Linked DNA regions of Caenorhabditis elegans. The protein of the gene in region 2 interacts with the protein of the main gene of each other region in a pairwise test. Each region holds a gene or a part of one and is shown on either strand. Other genes may lie near its edges.

Region 1 (7,494 bases), on a different chromosome or scaffold from region 2:
CTAAAAAATTCTAGAACATTTCAGAATTTTATCGCATTTTCCAGAATGTTCTCGATCTTCCTAGAACTTTTTTCAATTTTCTACAAAGTTCTGGAACATTCCAAATTTTTCTTGAATATTCCAGAATGTTCTAGACGCTTCTAGAATTTTCTTGAATTTTCCAGGAAGTTCTAGATCAAAGCCAAAGCCTAACACCTAAGCCTAAGCCTAATTCTAAGCCTAAGCCTAAGTCAAAGCCTAAAATAAAGCCTAACGCCTAAGCCTAATTCTAAACCCTCTTAAAAAGTTACAAGAAGGTTTTTCCTTGCGCTTGGAGCGCAAAAGAAAAGAAAAAGAGCTATTTAGACTTAGGGTGCCCAACTGGAATAAAATATAGGAAATCCTTATGACACACTTAAGCCTAAGGGCCCGAAAAAAAAACTAGGATGCCCAACTGGAATAAAATATTGGAAATCCTTATGACACACCGGCGGAATGGCGCGGCTTAAGCCTAAATAGCCACTTTTATCAAAATACATTTGAGCGAGGCGGCTGTAAACTATTCGTTCTTTAGCAAAAATAAAAAAAAAACTTTATTTAAATTTAAAAATAAATATCATATGTTATCAGACCTTAGAATATCACGCCTTAATTTAGTAATCATTTTTACTTCATAAATGTGAGAGAAAGAAAAATGGATTAATCATCGGAATTAAATATCATCAGAGTGATTATATTCATCAAATGTCTCACTTTATTGGAGGATTAATTTGGTTGATATAAAATTCCTATTTCATGTAAAGAAAGGTTCGAATTCTGTACCTATGAATGCTGTCGATATTTGAATTCCTATCTTATGGGAAGAAGGCCTTTCTTGTGGGAAAAACGGAGTTATAAAAAAATATACGCAGGTACAGAATTTGAACTTTTCTTCCCATGAGATGGGAATTTGAATATTGGCATTCAATAACTTCACTAAGAAAAAAAATCTCCAAAGGTTGATCGCAAATATGTAGAGATTGCTCGCATCCCTTCAAATATTACAAAATTTTCAAGTTTCTTAGAAATAATCTTCATTTAGATTACTGAAAAATATCCACAGATTACTTTTGAGTTGCCTGAGAAGTCAAAGTAAAACGCAAGACGAGCTCAAATGTATTTTGATAAAAGTGGCTATTTAGGCTTAAGCCGCGCCATACCGCCGGTGTGTCATAAGGATTTCCAATATTTTATTCCAGTTGGGCATCCTAGTATGTTTTTCGGGCCTTTAGGCTTAAGTGTGTCATAGGTACAGAATTCGAACCTTTCTTTACATGAGATAGGAATTTTATATCAACCAAATTAACCCTCCAGTAGAGTGGGACCTTTGATGAATATAATCACTCTGATGATATTTAATTCCGATGATTAATCCATTTTTCTTTCTCTCACATTTATGAAGTAAAAATGATTACTAAATTAAGGCGTGATATTCTAAGGTGTGATAACATATGATATTTATTTTTAAATTTAAATAAAGTTTTTTTTTTAATTTTTGCTAAAGAACGAATAGTTTACAGCCGCCTCGCTCAAATGTATTTTGATAAAAGTGGCTATTTAGGCTTAAGCCGCGCCATACCGCCGGTGTGTCATAAGGATTTCCTATATTTTATTCCAGTTGGGCACCCTAAGTCTAAATAGCTCTTTTTCTTTTCTTTTGCGCTCCAAGCGCAAGGAAAAACCTTCTTGTAACTTTTTAAGAGGGTTTCATATATTTTATTAAAATCGGGGCGAAGCCCTGATTTTAATAAAATATATGAAAAATCTCTACATAGCGTCAGTGGGGGAGCGTTAGCTAAGCCAAAAAAAAAAAAAAGCCAAAACCAAAGCCTAAGCCAAAGCACAAGCCTAAGCCCAAACCTAAGCTTTAGTCAAAGCCTGAAATCAAGCCTAAGCCTAATTCTAAGCCAAAGCCTAATCCTAATATTAAGCCTGTTCGTAAAACTAGGCCTGTTCTCGGTGAGACAACTACCCAATATTTTTCAATGTCATCAAGCTTGAAATCCGCTGGCTGGAATTAATTTGCAGAGGAATAGGCTTCACGCATTTTAATTCATTTATTGTGTTGAAATCTCTACATGAATATCTAGTAAACTCGGTTGGAACCCGTTCGGACCGGTATTTTGAAAATAAAGGGGGGGGGGGAGGTGGGAAAATTACAGCAAAATCTTGAACATTTGAATCTAGAGAAATTTAGAAAATATCGTCCATTTCCGGTAATTCTTCCAATGCTGATCGAGATTTGGGCGCATCCTTCTCATGAACTCTTTTGATGTGCTTCCTCAATTCTGATGGAACCGGATAGGATTTGTGGCAAATTGTGCATTCAAAGCGATTGGATTGTGAATGAACACGAGCCTTGTGTGTTGACAAAGCGGTGACCGTTGTGAATCGTTTTCCGCATTCAATGCAAGCATATGGATGCTTGGGCTGAAAATTTTAAATTTTAATTCATTAATTTTAAATTTTCATTCATTAAAGGTGGAGTAGCGACAGTGGGGAAATTGCTTTAAAACATGCCTATGGGGTCACAATGACCGAATATCATGATAAAAAAAATTCAAAAAAAAAATTAAAAATTTTATATGATTTTTTGAAAATTGAAAAAAAATCTCGAATTGCATCAATTTCCCATTTAAACTTCCCGCCAAGTGATTTTATCGATGGAGCGCGCTTGCTCGTTTTTATTTTAATTTATTGTTATTTTTTCTTATTTTTCGCCGATTTTTCATGTTTTCAGTGTATTTTTATGAGAAATTTGAAGAAAAAGCCAAAATAATGCAAATTCTCGATTAAAAATCAACTTTACAAGCGTAAATCTGTGAAATCAAATACTACTGGCTCCAAATCGTTTAAAAGTGGTACTTCTTCGTTTTTACGCTTGCAAAGTTGATTTTTAATCGAGAATTTGCATTATTTTGACTTTTTCTTCAAATTTCTCATAAAATTACACTGAAAACATGAAAAATCGGCGAAAAATAAGAAAAAATAACAATAAATTAAAATAAAAACGAGCAAGCGCGCTCCATCGATAAAATCACTTGGCGGGAGGTTTAAATGGGAATTTGATGCAATTCGAGATTTTTTCAATTTTCAAAAAATAATATAAAATCTAGAATTTTTTATCATGATATTCGGTCATTGTGGTACCATAGTCGTGTTTTAAAGCAATTTCCCCACTGAGCGTAGTCCACCTTTAAATTCTTATCCTTACCGATTCAGCGCTAATGTATCTCACAGCCGTGACATTTGGATCGTTCTTGGCATCTGGATGTTTTCTACCAACATGCCGGAGCATTGATTGTCGGCTCGCGAAGCTCTCTCCACACACTTGACACGATTTATCCCTATAGGAGACTGGGCTTGTGATTGGCCCAGGCTGACAGCTTGAGAATGATGCATAACTGACGGTGGAAAGAGCTGGGCTTGACGGCAAACTTTGTACTTTCAGAATCTTCGATACTCGCTGTTTTTCAATAATTTTCTCCCTATTCTTGCAGTACCATTCGTGAGTTTTGACAGATGTTGATGGGAATAGCTCCTTGCAAATCGAGCACGGCGCCTTCCATACTTCAAGTTCATCCGCATCCTCTTGATGATGCCGGATTATGTGACTTTGCAACGATTTTTCAGATTGAAAGACCAGTGAGCAGTTGTCGCATTGGATTTCCTTGAGATGGAGGGCCATATGAGCATCAAGGTTCTTCTTGCGCTTATAAGCTTTTCCGCACAGCTTACAACGATGCTTTAATCTAGACAAATCATGCACTTGATCAGTGTGAATCTGGAGAGCTTCAGCGTTCGGGAATGCTTTCGAGCACATAACGCAAGTGAAAATCGATCCAGCAGTGTGTGGCTTCAACAGAGAATCTTCCAGCTGTTGCTTTTGCTCGACTTTCCATTGTGATTGGCTCATTCGGATAAGCGATTGAAGTTCCTGGAATAAAAAGTTTCAGTTGCAAATTAAAAAAAAATAATCTTACCTTCGCCTTCTGCTCAAGCTTCTCATCTCCAGAATCGTTTAGCCTGCGCTCGATCCTTTCTTGGAGGTCTTGATAAGCGTCTTTCCGTTCGTAAGGATACTTGATTTGGACATCTTCCTCTTCCTCGTCTTCGGATTCAACTTCTTCAGCTACCTCGGGAACTCTTCGGTCTTCCGGCTCAAATTCCAATTCTTCAATGAGTTTTTGGAATTCATTGACATTTTTGTTCTTCTGAAAATAAAAAAATAAGTAAAATTGGTCGGCGGTAGTGAGAAGACCTCAGCATAAAGCATCTGAGTAGGTTTAATTTTCCCAAGTTTGAGTTTAGTTTTTTTGGTTGGTTTAATTGGTTTAATTACATTTTTGTTCGAGGATAAACATTGTCACTGACACACCCAATGGCTTCGAATAGTGTTTGCCGAAAAAACACAAGATTTGATCGAAAAAAAAGCCATTTTTAAAGAAATTTGACATTTTTTAATAAAGGATAACCGTTGAAAAGTTGTTAGCGTCCGCTTCAGAATTTGACGATGATGAGCAGCTTGTCACAGGAGTTAAATCAGCGTACGACATTGGATAATCGTAAATCTCCATTAAAAATGAAGAAATAGCGCAGAAAATTGACGAAACTGGTTGTGTGTTCACTTCGAAAATCGATGAGCGCGTGACGAAAGAGGGGGGAGACGCGTCGCGGTCGTGCGACGCGTGCAGCAATGCTTCGGTGTTTGCGGACTTGCTTACCGTATACCTGGAGAAAATTGCGATTTAAAAAAAAAATTTTACATAGTTTTTCTAGTAAAAAAAGGAAGAAAAAATGGATCTGTGCATTAATCCTTTAAATTTTCGTCCAAATATTTGATATAATTAAAAGAAAAACTCAAAATTTCTCTGAAAACCGCATATAATTTTGAAGAAACTATTACCATTAACTTTTTTTGCGCGCCGATACCCATCTGAAAAATATTGTGCACCTTTAAAAACACATTTTTAGACTGGAGAAAGAAAAAAATTCGATTTTTTTAAAACTGTTTTTGGAGAAAAAACCAAATTTTTTGAAACTACAGTACTCCTTAAAGGCGCATACCTTTTTCCGCATTTAACAAAAACAATTTTCGTGTCGAGACCCCCGGGGACCTTAGTTTTGGACTACAGTAATCTCAAAGTCCTATTCAATTGGATTGGAAAAACGAAAGGGAACAAAGAATTCTTCTTTTTTCACTTTTTCGACCTTTCTTCTCTGCGTCTCTCCGATATTCACACTATTTTTTATTTCAAAAAAGTATTGCACTTTTCATGGCCACCCACTATCTTTTTGGCGCCCAGGTGGCCTTGGGAGGGAAATTTTTTTTTTTTTTTAATTTTTCGAAAAATTTGAATTTTTATGTCTGTTTGCTTGTGTGTGTGCGTGTGTGTGTCTATAAAATGCAACAAAAATGTAGGTTCTTTTGATTTTTATGATTTTTTTGTCATTTTTTTTTTGAAATTCTTCAAGTTTTTTTTTTTTGTTTTTGCTGGTTTGTTGCTGGAAAAATGGGATATTCCAATCACAGGTATAGGGGATAGAAAAAAAGAGAAACAGAGAAAATGGGGGACAAAAAGAGAGAGGATTACCGCGTGCAGAGAGGTCGTTTGTGTGGTTTTTTGAATTTTTGTTGGAAAAATCTTTTAAAAAAATAATAGTAGGAGATTTCGAGAGAGAGAGAGAGAGCAAGTTTATTTATACAACAGTACTAATATTGAGGGGAAAATGGGAAAAAATTTTGATTTCGGGGGAATTTTTTGTTGAAAAAATCCAAAAAATCCAAAAATCCACACACAAAAAACCTCCCCGAACACAAAAATTACACCAAACAGTGGGGGGTGGGGAAAAAAAAAGACGACCTCGTAATTGTTAATGAGGGAAATAAAAATAGTTTCGAAGATCATTAAGAAGAGACTGAGAGAGAGAGTGGGATTGGGCGGCGGCGGGCGTTTCGCGGGACGAAAAATGAATCCCGCACGATGAAAAAAAAAAAATGAAAAAAAAAGGAAAAAGATAAAATAGGATATTTCAACTGTGAAAAAAAACAATAGAAAATGATGATGGGATGAGATTTTTCACAGCTCAAAAGCTTGAAACCCACAGAAAAAAAACAACGAATGGAGGGGAGGGGGGAATCATTTTTAAAAATATATATTACAGATATAAATGTGTACGTATATTATATTAAAAATGATTTTTTTTTAGAGAATAAAATACTACAGAAAACACGGCTCAAGTGAGAGTACCGAGATGATGAGACACATATTATTGGGTGGGTGGTTGCAATATTAAAGAATCGCAGATTTTTCCAGCGAATCTGATTATTCGGTCGGGGATTAGGCAGCGGACAGAGTGGGGGTGTAAATACATTGAAATATTTGAGAATCATGGGAGAGAGAGAGAGAGAGAGAGATATGCACAAAACAATGAATGACCATCAAAAAATCTCAGGAGGATTGAAAATTGGCGATGAGCAGCAGTAGCAGCAGTAGCAGAAGCAGCAGCAGAGAGTTCAAATTATAGACCGATTGTCGACGGCATCATGAACTTTTTCCGTTCCAGCAGTGTTACCGTTGACATCGAACTGAAAAAAAAATACGCGTTTTGAGAAATGTGCATTTTTTTTGTTCTTTTTCGGATATACTCCTCTGACAAAAAATAAAATTTCCTGAGCAAAGTAAAACTCCTACGTATTCTTGCATAGAAATTAAGGATCTTAAAGATTCTTGCTACTCAGAATTTTCTGAAAATTTCAATTTTTTAAAAAGAAAACTCAGAATTTTCTGAAAAATTCAATTTTTTAAAAATAAAACTTGCTCGAAATCAAATTCTCAACAAATTTTAATTTCAACAGTTTTTCAAAAACCGTGTAAAACTTTTCAAATTTGCTCTCAAAAATCAAAAAAAAAAAAAGCAAAGAAAAACTAACGAACTCTTTGATGGAATGATCTCGTGCTCCTCTAGCCGGCGATGGTTGTTGATCATCATCATCATCCACGCCATTCATCAATTTTTCCTTGAAAGCGACAGCTACCGCGTTGGCAACAACAACTGCATGCTGTTCTTGTGGCGTATAGCCACCCCATTCGGTTGATGAATTCGATTCTGATGGTGATCCACTCGGCTCTCTCCAATCATCTGAGTCCGACACCGTTCCGCACATCTGCAAAAAAGAAAATAGGAAAATGGGAATTTATTCGACTTTTTTCAAGATTTTTCAAGACAAGTTTAAAAAAAAATTCAAAATTGCTATAAAGGTGGTGTCTGTCGAATTTTTTAAAATTACTTTATTAGACTCAAAATTGTCTGAAAACACCGAATTTCATGATGAAACTTCTTAAAAACTTCTCAAAAAAAAGTTATGATGGCTCAAAAAATGGCCTAAAATAGTTAAAATTGGAAATTTGACTTGTCGCAGCGGCTGGAAACTAACTTTTTTAAAACCACAGTCAAATTTTGGGTATAAATGTC
Region 2 (9,863 bases):
AAATTATATTATAACCTTATCAATTGGAACCGGAACCATCAGATTTTGTTCGTGCAAATCAGCGTGGAAAAAGCCAATGGAGTGAAGAGTACTCAAGGAACGGGAGACTGCACATCCAACTGTCGCGACATTTTTACGATTGAAAACTAAATTTTTGTTTCTTTTTCTAATGTCATTAAGATTGTCTCCTTCGTCGCTTAAGACTGAAACAAATATTAAGTGTTATCGGACAAGGTGAAACTCACCAATTGCATAATATCCGTCAACTTGAAAATTCTCACAAAATTGGGGAAATCCATTTCTTTTTGAATTACCAAGAGAGTCCAGTTTGCGAAAAACTGATAGCTCCGTCTTGAATGATTTTTCTCGTTGACTCCCGTGAACAAATTTAACAAGCTTAATTACTTTTTCTTTGTTCAGTTCTTCCATATCGTTTACAGCAACAATACTTCCATACGATCCTTCACCAATTAAGTAACTTACATAGTACTCTTTGACAACTTTTCCTACCAAATCAACCATCTGAAAACGTGATACAGTAATTGTAAACTAATTTCCCTTAGGTTTTCAGCTAAAATAAACATTTCAAAAAAATTACATTTACTATAGAAAAACCGAGAAATTCAAACAAATCGAAAAGGGAGAGTTTGAAGAAAACCGCGGAAAGTGTAAGTTTAAAATTAAGAAATGATTTATTTCAAAACTGACATTTCACGTGAATGCGTGAAATACATTTGATTTAATTTTTGACTTTTTTTCAATTTCTTTGAAATAAATGGCTATCATTGAAGACCGGTGAGTACCCTGCACATAAAGTGACGTGTTTGAAATTTTTTACAGAACCTGGAATCTAGGTCACAGAGTTGTTTGTAGTAACGGACTTGAAACATTAGGGATTTGCTTAACCAAATTTTACCTTTCAGATGTTTCTGTTTCGGGTGAAAATACAGACCAATAACTGGTTTTCATGGGGGTTGTATGCTCCTTTGCAGCTGGGGCAAACATAAAAAATTACGGAGCTTGGAAAATTTGGCAAATCTACTTTTTTGAAATTTACCGTGTTTGGCAAATTTGCCGCACATCCATGCTTTGCACCTTACATTAAAATGTTGTTATTCAGATATTCAGCCGAATACCTTTTTTTAAACTACTATGCATTATTATAACTTCATCTGTGTCAGTGTATTATGTTTGATTTTCAATTTGCTGAGAACAGAAAAAAGATCACCTTGTCATTCTATAGTGGCAAAAAACATTTGGTGTAAAACGGAATAATAGATAGATATGACATAACACGGATTTTAAAGGGTAAAACAATATTATAAGATCAATTTAATTTACAGTTATATGATTTTTCGAACAATGTCTGTTCCAGTTAATCATAATTTTAAACCATAGGATCTTCTGGGGCTTCAATAACTTCATGTTCCAAATGGCCTTGTACTTCAGGATGTTCAATGTGTTCCTCGTGTCTTCCCAGTTCCTCGTGTCCGACAAGATGATTACCAGGATGCACAACAAGTTCTTCTTGCATGTATTCGACACCTTCCTCCACAATCTCTTGGTCGCCAGAGAAAATGTCCACGTGGAATGTCTCATTGATCATTTGGAGCAAGCGCTGCTCGTTCTTTTCGTATAATAGTCGGAACAAGCTGTCAAAAGTGTCATCAATGCACTCCGAACCAAACTGTTTTTGCGCAATTCGCCAAAGAGCATCATATCGCTGAGATCCACGAACAAATCCAGCAGTAGTCTGAAAATTGAGAATTTAAAAAACGAATCAATTATACAAACACTAACCACGCTTTTCTCCAAAAATGGATTTCTTCTCATCATTGATTGCCCATAGACGTCTCCAACTTCTTCAATGTGCTCGACAATCATGTCTCCTCCAATCATCATTTCGTGACCCATGATTGTTTTTGGAATTTGCTCTTCAATCACCACCTCTTCCACAGTCTCAGTTTTAGCCGATGTCGATGGTCCTGCACCATCAGCTCCGGTCCATTCAGTGACAAAAGTGTCGTTGTCAGCATGAGAACCAGAAAGTTCTCGCCGTTTGAGACTGAACAACATATTTGGACTAATATGAATTCCATGTTCCTGATGAATTATCTTCGCTGTTTCATTTACTGGGGCAGTTTTCAGCAAATGGAACACATCCTCTCTGATGTTTGATGGAAGGCTGCTGAACCATTCATCAGTCGAAGGTTGAATAGTCTTCTGAATTGGCTGTGGCACAGCTCCGGGCTCAGTGTAGCTGTACATGATCAAACCGTGTCCATACTGGTTTCCGTCTCGTTGCACATAGACAACTTTTTTGCGAAGCCGTGTGCAGCGGGGCAATGTTGCAGTGTAAATGTGCAACTGGAATTCAATCGGATCCACGGCCAGAGCATTCCCCTTGCAGACTCGCAGTTGATTGTGACGATTGAATCCGAGCGGAGTTTTTGATGATTTCGGCCTTTTGGTTATTCCATCTGAAACTAATGGAGCTTGCGGGAAGTTACTCAACACGTCTATGAAAATTTTTGTAAAAAATTCATAAGACTTACGAGGATTAGAGCAAGTGTTTTCTGACCACGGAGTCAGTTTATCTGTGGTCAATGATCTAAAGTTGACTTCTTCTCCGTTCACAAAAAAGACAAATGTTCCTTTTCCAGTTATCGATGGTGGAAGATCGGGAACTTTTGTGTTGAGGCATCCGAGTTGTTCACTGAAATTACTTTTTTTAAGCTTAGCTTTTCTATTTTTCTTTCAATCAACTTACACCAAATCAGATTGATTGACCAAGTACTGAATCTGTCGGTTCCGGTCATTCCAGAATTCCAAGTCATCGAGCTGTAGGTAAAACGTCCCATCAGCAGCAGTCTCTGCAGGCAATATGAATGGGCAATCTCTGCTCTCTTCGCCTTCCGAGACATCATTCATCAAATCATGCTGCATATGATTCTGTAATTATTGTATTGTTATTAAGTCAAAATCTTATGATGTTAGAAACATACGGTTCTAGCGTAACTCCTCTTAGTGAGTGGCTTGTATTGGCCAGCGTTGAGACGTGGGATGTTGCCTTCATGGTTGTAGTCGTACATAATCAATGCATGACTGACAACCATTTTTGATTGGGTTTCCATCAGGTAGTAGATCTGAAAACCAAATTATTAGTTTATAAAAATCAAATAACATTGTTTAAAACACCTTTTTTCGCAGTCTAGGCTCCTTTGGATTAATCGAATACAAGTAGACGAGATGGAATGGACAAGTTTTGTAGTTGGTATTTTCTTTCAGCTTAAAAACAGTTTACGTTTAAAACAATAGTGCCAGTAAATATTCCATACCAAAAACGTTGAATTTTGAGGATCGCAAATCACTCCAAGCTTTCGAACTTTTGTACGATAGCAGGTCGGCTGATCAGGCGTTCCGTTGCGAGACCATGGTGAGAAGTCGTCGCGATTAATGTCATGGGGGAATATGGCAGTACCGGCTACAAAAAAGGCGTAGGCCCTAGAGTTGGTGACCAATGGTGGGTGAGACGGTTTCGTGTCGTTCAGGACACCACGCTCCTCACTGAAATATTTGAAAATAGTTGAAAATCAAACTGATTACATTTTCAAGAACTTACACAATGTTCGAATTTGCAATCCATTCGAGAACATGATCCATGACGGTAACCAACTTTTTATGACGAACAGTCAAGTATACGTGACCCGTTGACAAAACACGGGGCTCATCATAGTATGCATTCGGATTCTCGGCTTTATCAATCGGATCATCATTGAATTCTGGATCAAATCCGTTGTTCAGCGTATCGGGATACGTTAGAAGGTTCTCCATCTGATCATCCTCCTGCTGAACGAGCATTTCCTTGTGAACGTCAACGACATCAACGATTCCGTCATCGTCAACAGGAATCATATCATATGAATCCTGCTCTACCATCATGTGAGAGTGCATGTCCATTGAATTGACCGGCTTTTTCAGTGGTGATCCTCCTGACCATCTACTGTAACTCTTCGCGTCCAATGGTGGGTAGAAGGTTGGCAACGGACCGTCGTAAACAAACTCATACGTGTAGCAGACATTTCCATGAATAACAGCGCCGGCTTGTTGGATATAGAAAACCTGAAATGATTGAAGAATTGCAATGTACAATATTTTTTATGACATTATTTATGACTACTGCACTATAATTTCAGTTCCGTCAACGGTCTGATAATTTAGCAGCAACAACCCCAGGTGGTGTATGCCCTTTCATTTTGTTAAATATTGCACAGCGTGTGGTGTAGATTTACGACGCAAAATTTAAGTACGCAAATTTAAGTACGCAAACTTAAGTACGCAAATGTGCGTCGTGGTACTTGCGGACTGTTGGTTAACTTACCCTCTTTCTCACTCTTTTGCATCTGGCAAGTGTCGACATTGTCTCTACGAGAATATAGTCGGATGGAGTTTTCTGGTCTCTTGATACCATAAAGTGATTGTGAGCTTCGTCCAATATCAAGTTCTTCTTTGTTGACCGCACACGCACTGTCGGTGTTCCTTCGCCAGCGCCTGCTGAAATTTATCAAAATTAAAACGGTTAAACGACCGCATATTGGTGCTTCGCAAACAGCAACTCACGATTAGTGGTCCATGGAGATAAGCCATCAGCAGCGTGGTGAATTTGGTTGACAACATGACAGGCCGGAACAAAATATGCAAAGACTCCGACCGTCTCAATCAGTGGCGGAAGATCTGGGAGGCGATTGTTTAGAGCGCCAAGTTCATCCAGAATGTCAACTTTATTGAATAAATAATCCAGCAAGTTTTTCTTGTTCTGAGCCCATCCCAATTTGTTCGGACGCAACCTGAGGTAGACTCCAGCTCCACGGGTTCCTTCTATGCGTTGCGGCTCAAACTGAAAGCATAAAATTATAAATGAGGTAACCAATTATATAATTACAAACCGGCAAATCATTGTCAAATCCATCTTGATCATCTGTGACTGCTCTTCGCAGATGATCATTGCCATGAGGAAGGCATACTGGGATTGGGGCATTTCCTGGATTCACATAATCATACAGAATAAGCACATTTCCAAAGATTTGATTGTCACGGGTCAGGTAGAAAATCTGGAAAGAAAATCAATGTTGTGTTCAAATATCTTCAGTTTAGCTACCTTTTTTCTCAGTCTCTGCTCCCGAGGTAATCTAGCGCTGTACTCCGTTAAGTGATACTCAGCGAGACGTGTCTCATGCTTGACTGTCTTCAGCTCGCCATTGAGTCGAGCCACCGGGTGTCTTCGAACATTTGGCTTGATTGTGTTTGGGCCGCCAGTCGTGTTCTGATGATCATTTGTCACACTCCACGGACGGAGGTCATCGTTGGAGAGATCTTTAGCATTTTTCTGCTGACTACCATCCACGTAGAATGCGAAGCATACTTTGTCGGTGACAAGTGGAGGAAGACGTGGTGGTCTTGGAAGAAACCATCCTGCTTGCTTTCTGAAAATTTATAATGTGCTTAGATTATTGATATCGCATTGCAACAGTTGTCATTTTTCACTTACATCAACTCAATTTCGTCCGGGTTTGTGAGGAGATCAATAATCCGCTCCTTTCTCAGCAGCTCAGTCAGGCACCCATTCACCACGGTTGCATAGGACTCTCCGCCGGGGGTTGTATCCAACTCTTCCTCAAATAGCTTAATATGCCTTTGATTAGCAGTGGCGGTTCTAGCAGCAACTGGCTCAGTTGGTGGGGCTCGCTGAGCTTTTGAAGCTGGACGGGTCAGTTTCAATTTAACATTGGTCTCCAGCTGCTCTTGTGGTCGACGTGGACGTCCTCTTCGCTTGCTCAATCTGTAAAAAAAATTAAAGTTTTGTCATTACATAATGGATTTACGTACGGGTGCCTTTCAAGATCTGGAGGGTGAGCAAAGTCATTAACACTATAGTCTTCGTCGCTTTCCCTGTAACTTTCAGGTTCAGTTTCAAAAACAGTAGATGGCCCGAGCACTGGAGGTCCTTCGTCATTGTGAGGAACCTCAAATTCCATTGCAACTTCCAGGTTGGCTCCATCAGTCATCAACTGATCATCGAATTTTGGAGTCTGTAATTAAGAAAAAAGGATTATTTAAGAACAAAGGTTTTCTGTGTTTCTCACTTGATTTGAGTTCGCCCTATGTGCAACTGGTGTCTCCATCATTTCAGCAACATGAGGAGGAATCTTTCTTCTTTTCGCTCCTTTCAGCATATCAGGCATCATAGCAGTTGAGTTTTTATCGGTTCCAGTAGATACCTCTGAAACAGCACTGGTCCTATTTGGAGTTCTTGAAACTGATGGAGTCCGTTCGGGAGGTGCAGCAGGCGCTGAATTCACAAGCTCATAGTTCTCGTTGTCGTATAGAGTGTTTTTGCGAATATTTCGCCGTGGTCTGGACGATTGTACAGTGGTGTCCTTTGCAGATTCCTCAGGACACATCGGCAGAGGTTTCTGAATTTTATTTTGTGTTGCATTTTTAGCTTCATCTGTTTTTTTTTGTTTTCACAATTCTCTCATAATGCTTCGCAACTTTAAATTGAGAGAGAATTTTTCAATGGCGTCATTATCGGTGTCTACAGACTAAAAATTGCGGAAATTTTCAAAGCCTAAACAGTTTTACCTCTTCTCCGGCTGGCGTTTCTTCGGACGGTTGTGCAGCACTTTTTGTTGAGTTTCGGCGAGGCATTTCTAAACTGAATAAGTTGAAAATTGACAAAAAATAGCTTGAAATATGAAAAAAAACGATGTGAAAAGAAGGAAAGAATAACTGGCCGGCTGACGCGCAAGGCGAGTGGCGAGAGAGCGCGTTAGATGACAAAACGAGGTAAGAGAGTGTGGTAAACGGAGAGACCGTTCACTTGCTGTTTCGCGCGCATTCACACCCCTCTCCCTATCGGTGTGAGTTGGAGCGTATTTGCATTGTTTGTTGGTGATCGACAATGTTGGGCAATTGTCGAAGAATCAACCCAATAAATTTAGCAGAACTTAAATAGGGCTATGTGGTGAGGATGATAAACTTGTATGTGTAATTTGAGTGACAAGATTCAAAAATCTTACGTATTTTTCTACAAACCTTCTTTAAATTTACAATTTTTGCATCCTAAATGTGGTACTAATTAAATTGGGCGCCCTCCTTTCACAAATAGAAAAGTCTACAAAAAAAGAAAACTCACGTTCACACGTTTCGAGTACAATTGACATTTGGTTTAAGTTGTGATTGCCATTATTACTCATTAATTTTAAAAAAATCCTCAAAGTGCAAGATAAGTAAATTTAGCAACAGATAATGCAACAGATGTGCTCCATAAAAAACTTTTATGGCAAAATTTAGAAAGTTGTAGGGAGATTAATATTTTGACACCCAAGACTACACAAAGTATGTACTTTAAAAACCCATAATTGTTTTCATTAGTAACATTTATAAAACATGTTTAAAAAATTTATTCTAGATTAACTGACAATTGTTAAACTGCAAAGGAGGTGGTTAAAGAAGTTTCACATTGCATCATAGTCTTCTTCGTTGAAGTAGATATTGAATTTGTCGATCAACTTCTAAAATATAAAATTATCATTGTTTTTCGAAATTAAATCAAATTGAAACCTGTTGATCCTCGTCCAAAGAAATGTCGAATGTAGCTTTTGGTGGAACATGCTTTCTGAAAATGGCAGTGAAAATTTTATTTACATGCAATTTTAAATTTTTTGATGAAATCTGATTTTTTTATCTTTAAAAACATATTAAACTAACTTATTTTTCAACGCTTTTGACATAGCTTTATCCAAGACAAACAGCTGCTTCACTGCTTCATAATTGGGTTCATCTTTGAATTCGAGCATGCGGCACGATTGAAGCATATCGTTAATCGGCTGTATTCCACAAAGTGAACAACTTTTTTGATTGCCTTGTTTCAAGTTGAAATAGTTTCTATGAGTATCATCATTGTTCACACTCCGTCCTTCTTTCCAGCACATAGTGAGGTCAAGTATTTTCCTCAAAGAATAAACCAAGGACTCCATGTCATCTCTTCGGGTATTTCCTGTAATTAGATAGTTCGAACAAAAAATATTTGGTTTAACCTTTCGTCTTGGTATTGTTAATAGAATTTTTTTTGAAAAAGCTGAATTCTCAATCAGAAGTGCTGATACAAAAGCAAACAAAAAACTCTTACCAAAACATTGTTCATGGTGCTGATTGGCACTCATGTAAACATAAGTTCCTTTTCGATAATGGCGATTATGTACCTCTCGGTGATTTCCTCTATCATCAAGAAACGATTCTGCTAATCCAAAGTCGATGAGCTAAAGGTATAGTTATATTGACTATATGTGTCAAATTGTTCAAATAATCATGAGTTCACAAAACATTTAAGGTAGAAGTAACATACATTAAGCTGATTCTTTTTTTCATTGAGACCAAATGCAAAATTTGCTGGTTTTATATCACAGTGAACGATCCCCCTATCATGTATTGTGTGAAGCAAATCGATCATTTGTCTTGCCAAGTGAAAAGCTTCCGGAACTTCCAGTTTTCCGCCGTACAATTCAGCATACTCAAGTAAGTTTAATCCCAATAAGTCGAGTTGCAAAATAGTTGCGTTTTGCTCTGTCCGGCGGATAGCAATCTGGAGGTCACGAGTTCAAATCCGGTCTCACCCCCTAGGTTCACCCAGCCTCTATTTGGAAGTGGAGCAATCCACGACTGGATTATCGGCCACAGTCCCCGGCTAGGACGTGGCTAAAATTATAGCCCAGTGGGATCACTAGTGTACCTGAATCCCAGATCCGCAGTGCATATCACTTGAAGAACGGATCGTCCTTTATTTTTAATGTTTTAAAATGACTCCTTTTAACACACTTACCATCACCCTCGATTGACAAAATCGACTCGCTTGACAAATTTTCCCTGAAAGTACAAAAAAAATTAGAGATACACATACATATTTTCAAATAAAAACTGCTGGAAACTTTTTGATAATGATGACAAAAACTGTTATAATAGTCATATAAAATTGAGAGTTAAAAAACATGTTTTCATCAAAACAAAACGTATTTACAATATCTTCAAACTCTTTTTTTGCAATGAGTATCTGATATTTCTCATATTTTATCACTAATTTGAAATTTATTTTTGACTAAATATATCAGCGATCCACTGTGTGAACACTTTCAATAACTAACATCTTGTCTCTTAGAAATGGTCCAACTAATCTTGATTGAAGAATCCCCATTTTGAAATGTTTCGAACCTAAAAATTAAGTCATTAAACTGAATTTATTAATTATTCATAAACTGAAAAAATTAAACTAAGAATTGAAAAAACATAACTGTGTGAATTGATTGAATTGGCAAAAATCCAGTGATTTCCATTGTCACAAAAATGATGAGTCATCATAATCTGAAAAAGCATCGTAGAAAATTTGTTTCAGTATATTGCTGGCAGTGCATTTATAATTGAAAACTGTGTTCTTGAACTATTTTTGAAATTGCCTTATTCCCTCGGTTAAAACTACTGTGAATGAATGAAACTTTATGCAGCTGATTTAGTTTTAAAAAACGACAACAACTGTTCTGTCATATGTAATTAACTTTGGAAGCAGCATGTAAATTTGGTATTACTGCCCAGCGGGAAGTGAACATTCCTGTTAAGCAAAATCCTCCTGTATATCACCAACAACTTTTGTTCATTTCCTATCAATTTTGTTTAAAGTAAAATATGAACGAGTCCAATAATTGAACTCCGTTTTGTTAACAAACTCGCTTTTGTTTCTGCTTTTTCACAATTGTTATCATGAATTATACAATATTCGATTTCATAAGAATCCTTTCTTTCTTTTTTCATTC

Evidence for each region. The genes of interacting proteins can lie anywhere in the genome.
Region 1: the proteins of F16B12.6 (region 2) and gldi-8 interact in a two-hybrid assay, tested with the Caenorhabditis elegans proteins (one large-scale study listed by BioGRID).

The regions. Positions count from the first base shown.
Region 1 is NC_003281.10:12,593,934-12,601,427, forward strand, and holds gldi-8 (C2H2-type domain-containing protein), read right to left. Parts: upstream 4,752-7,494; 5' UTR 4,596-4,751; coding exon 4,494-4,595; exon of another isoform or gene 4,233-4,493; coding exon 4,002-4,232; intron 3,956-4,001; coding exon 3,233-3,955; intron 2,449-3,232; coding exon 2,212-2,448; 3' UTR 2,061-2,211; downstream 1-2,060. Other genes in the region: epc-1 (Enhancer of polycomb-like protein), read right to left, coding at 6,541-6,607, 6,957-7,186.
Region 2 is NC_003284.9:14,099,204-14,109,066, reverse strand, and holds F16B12.6 (DUF7747 domain-containing protein), read right to left. Parts: upstream 6,752-9,863; 5' UTR 6,709-6,751; coding exon 6,643-6,708; intron 6,474-6,642; coding exon 6,144-6,473; intron 6,090-6,143; coding exon 5,887-6,089; intron 5,840-5,886; coding exon 5,549-5,839; intron 5,484-5,548; coding exon 5,159-5,483; intron 5,112-5,158; coding exon 4,947-5,111; intron 4,898-4,946; coding exon 4,621-4,897; intron 4,555-4,620; coding exon 4,382-4,554; intron 4,123-4,381; coding exon 3,623-4,122; intron 3,568-3,622; coding exon 3,339-3,567; intron 3,289-3,338; coding exon 3,199-3,288; intron 3,147-3,198; coding exon 3,006-3,146; intron 2,953-3,005; coding exon 2,771-2,952; intron 2,717-2,770; coding exon 2,556-2,716; intron 2,481-2,555; coding exon 1,801-2,480; intron 1,754-1,800; coding exon 1,388-1,753; 3' UTR 1,154-1,387; downstream 1-1,153. Other genes in the region: F16B12.7 (Protein kinase domain-containing protein), read right to left, coding at 16-203, 246-522.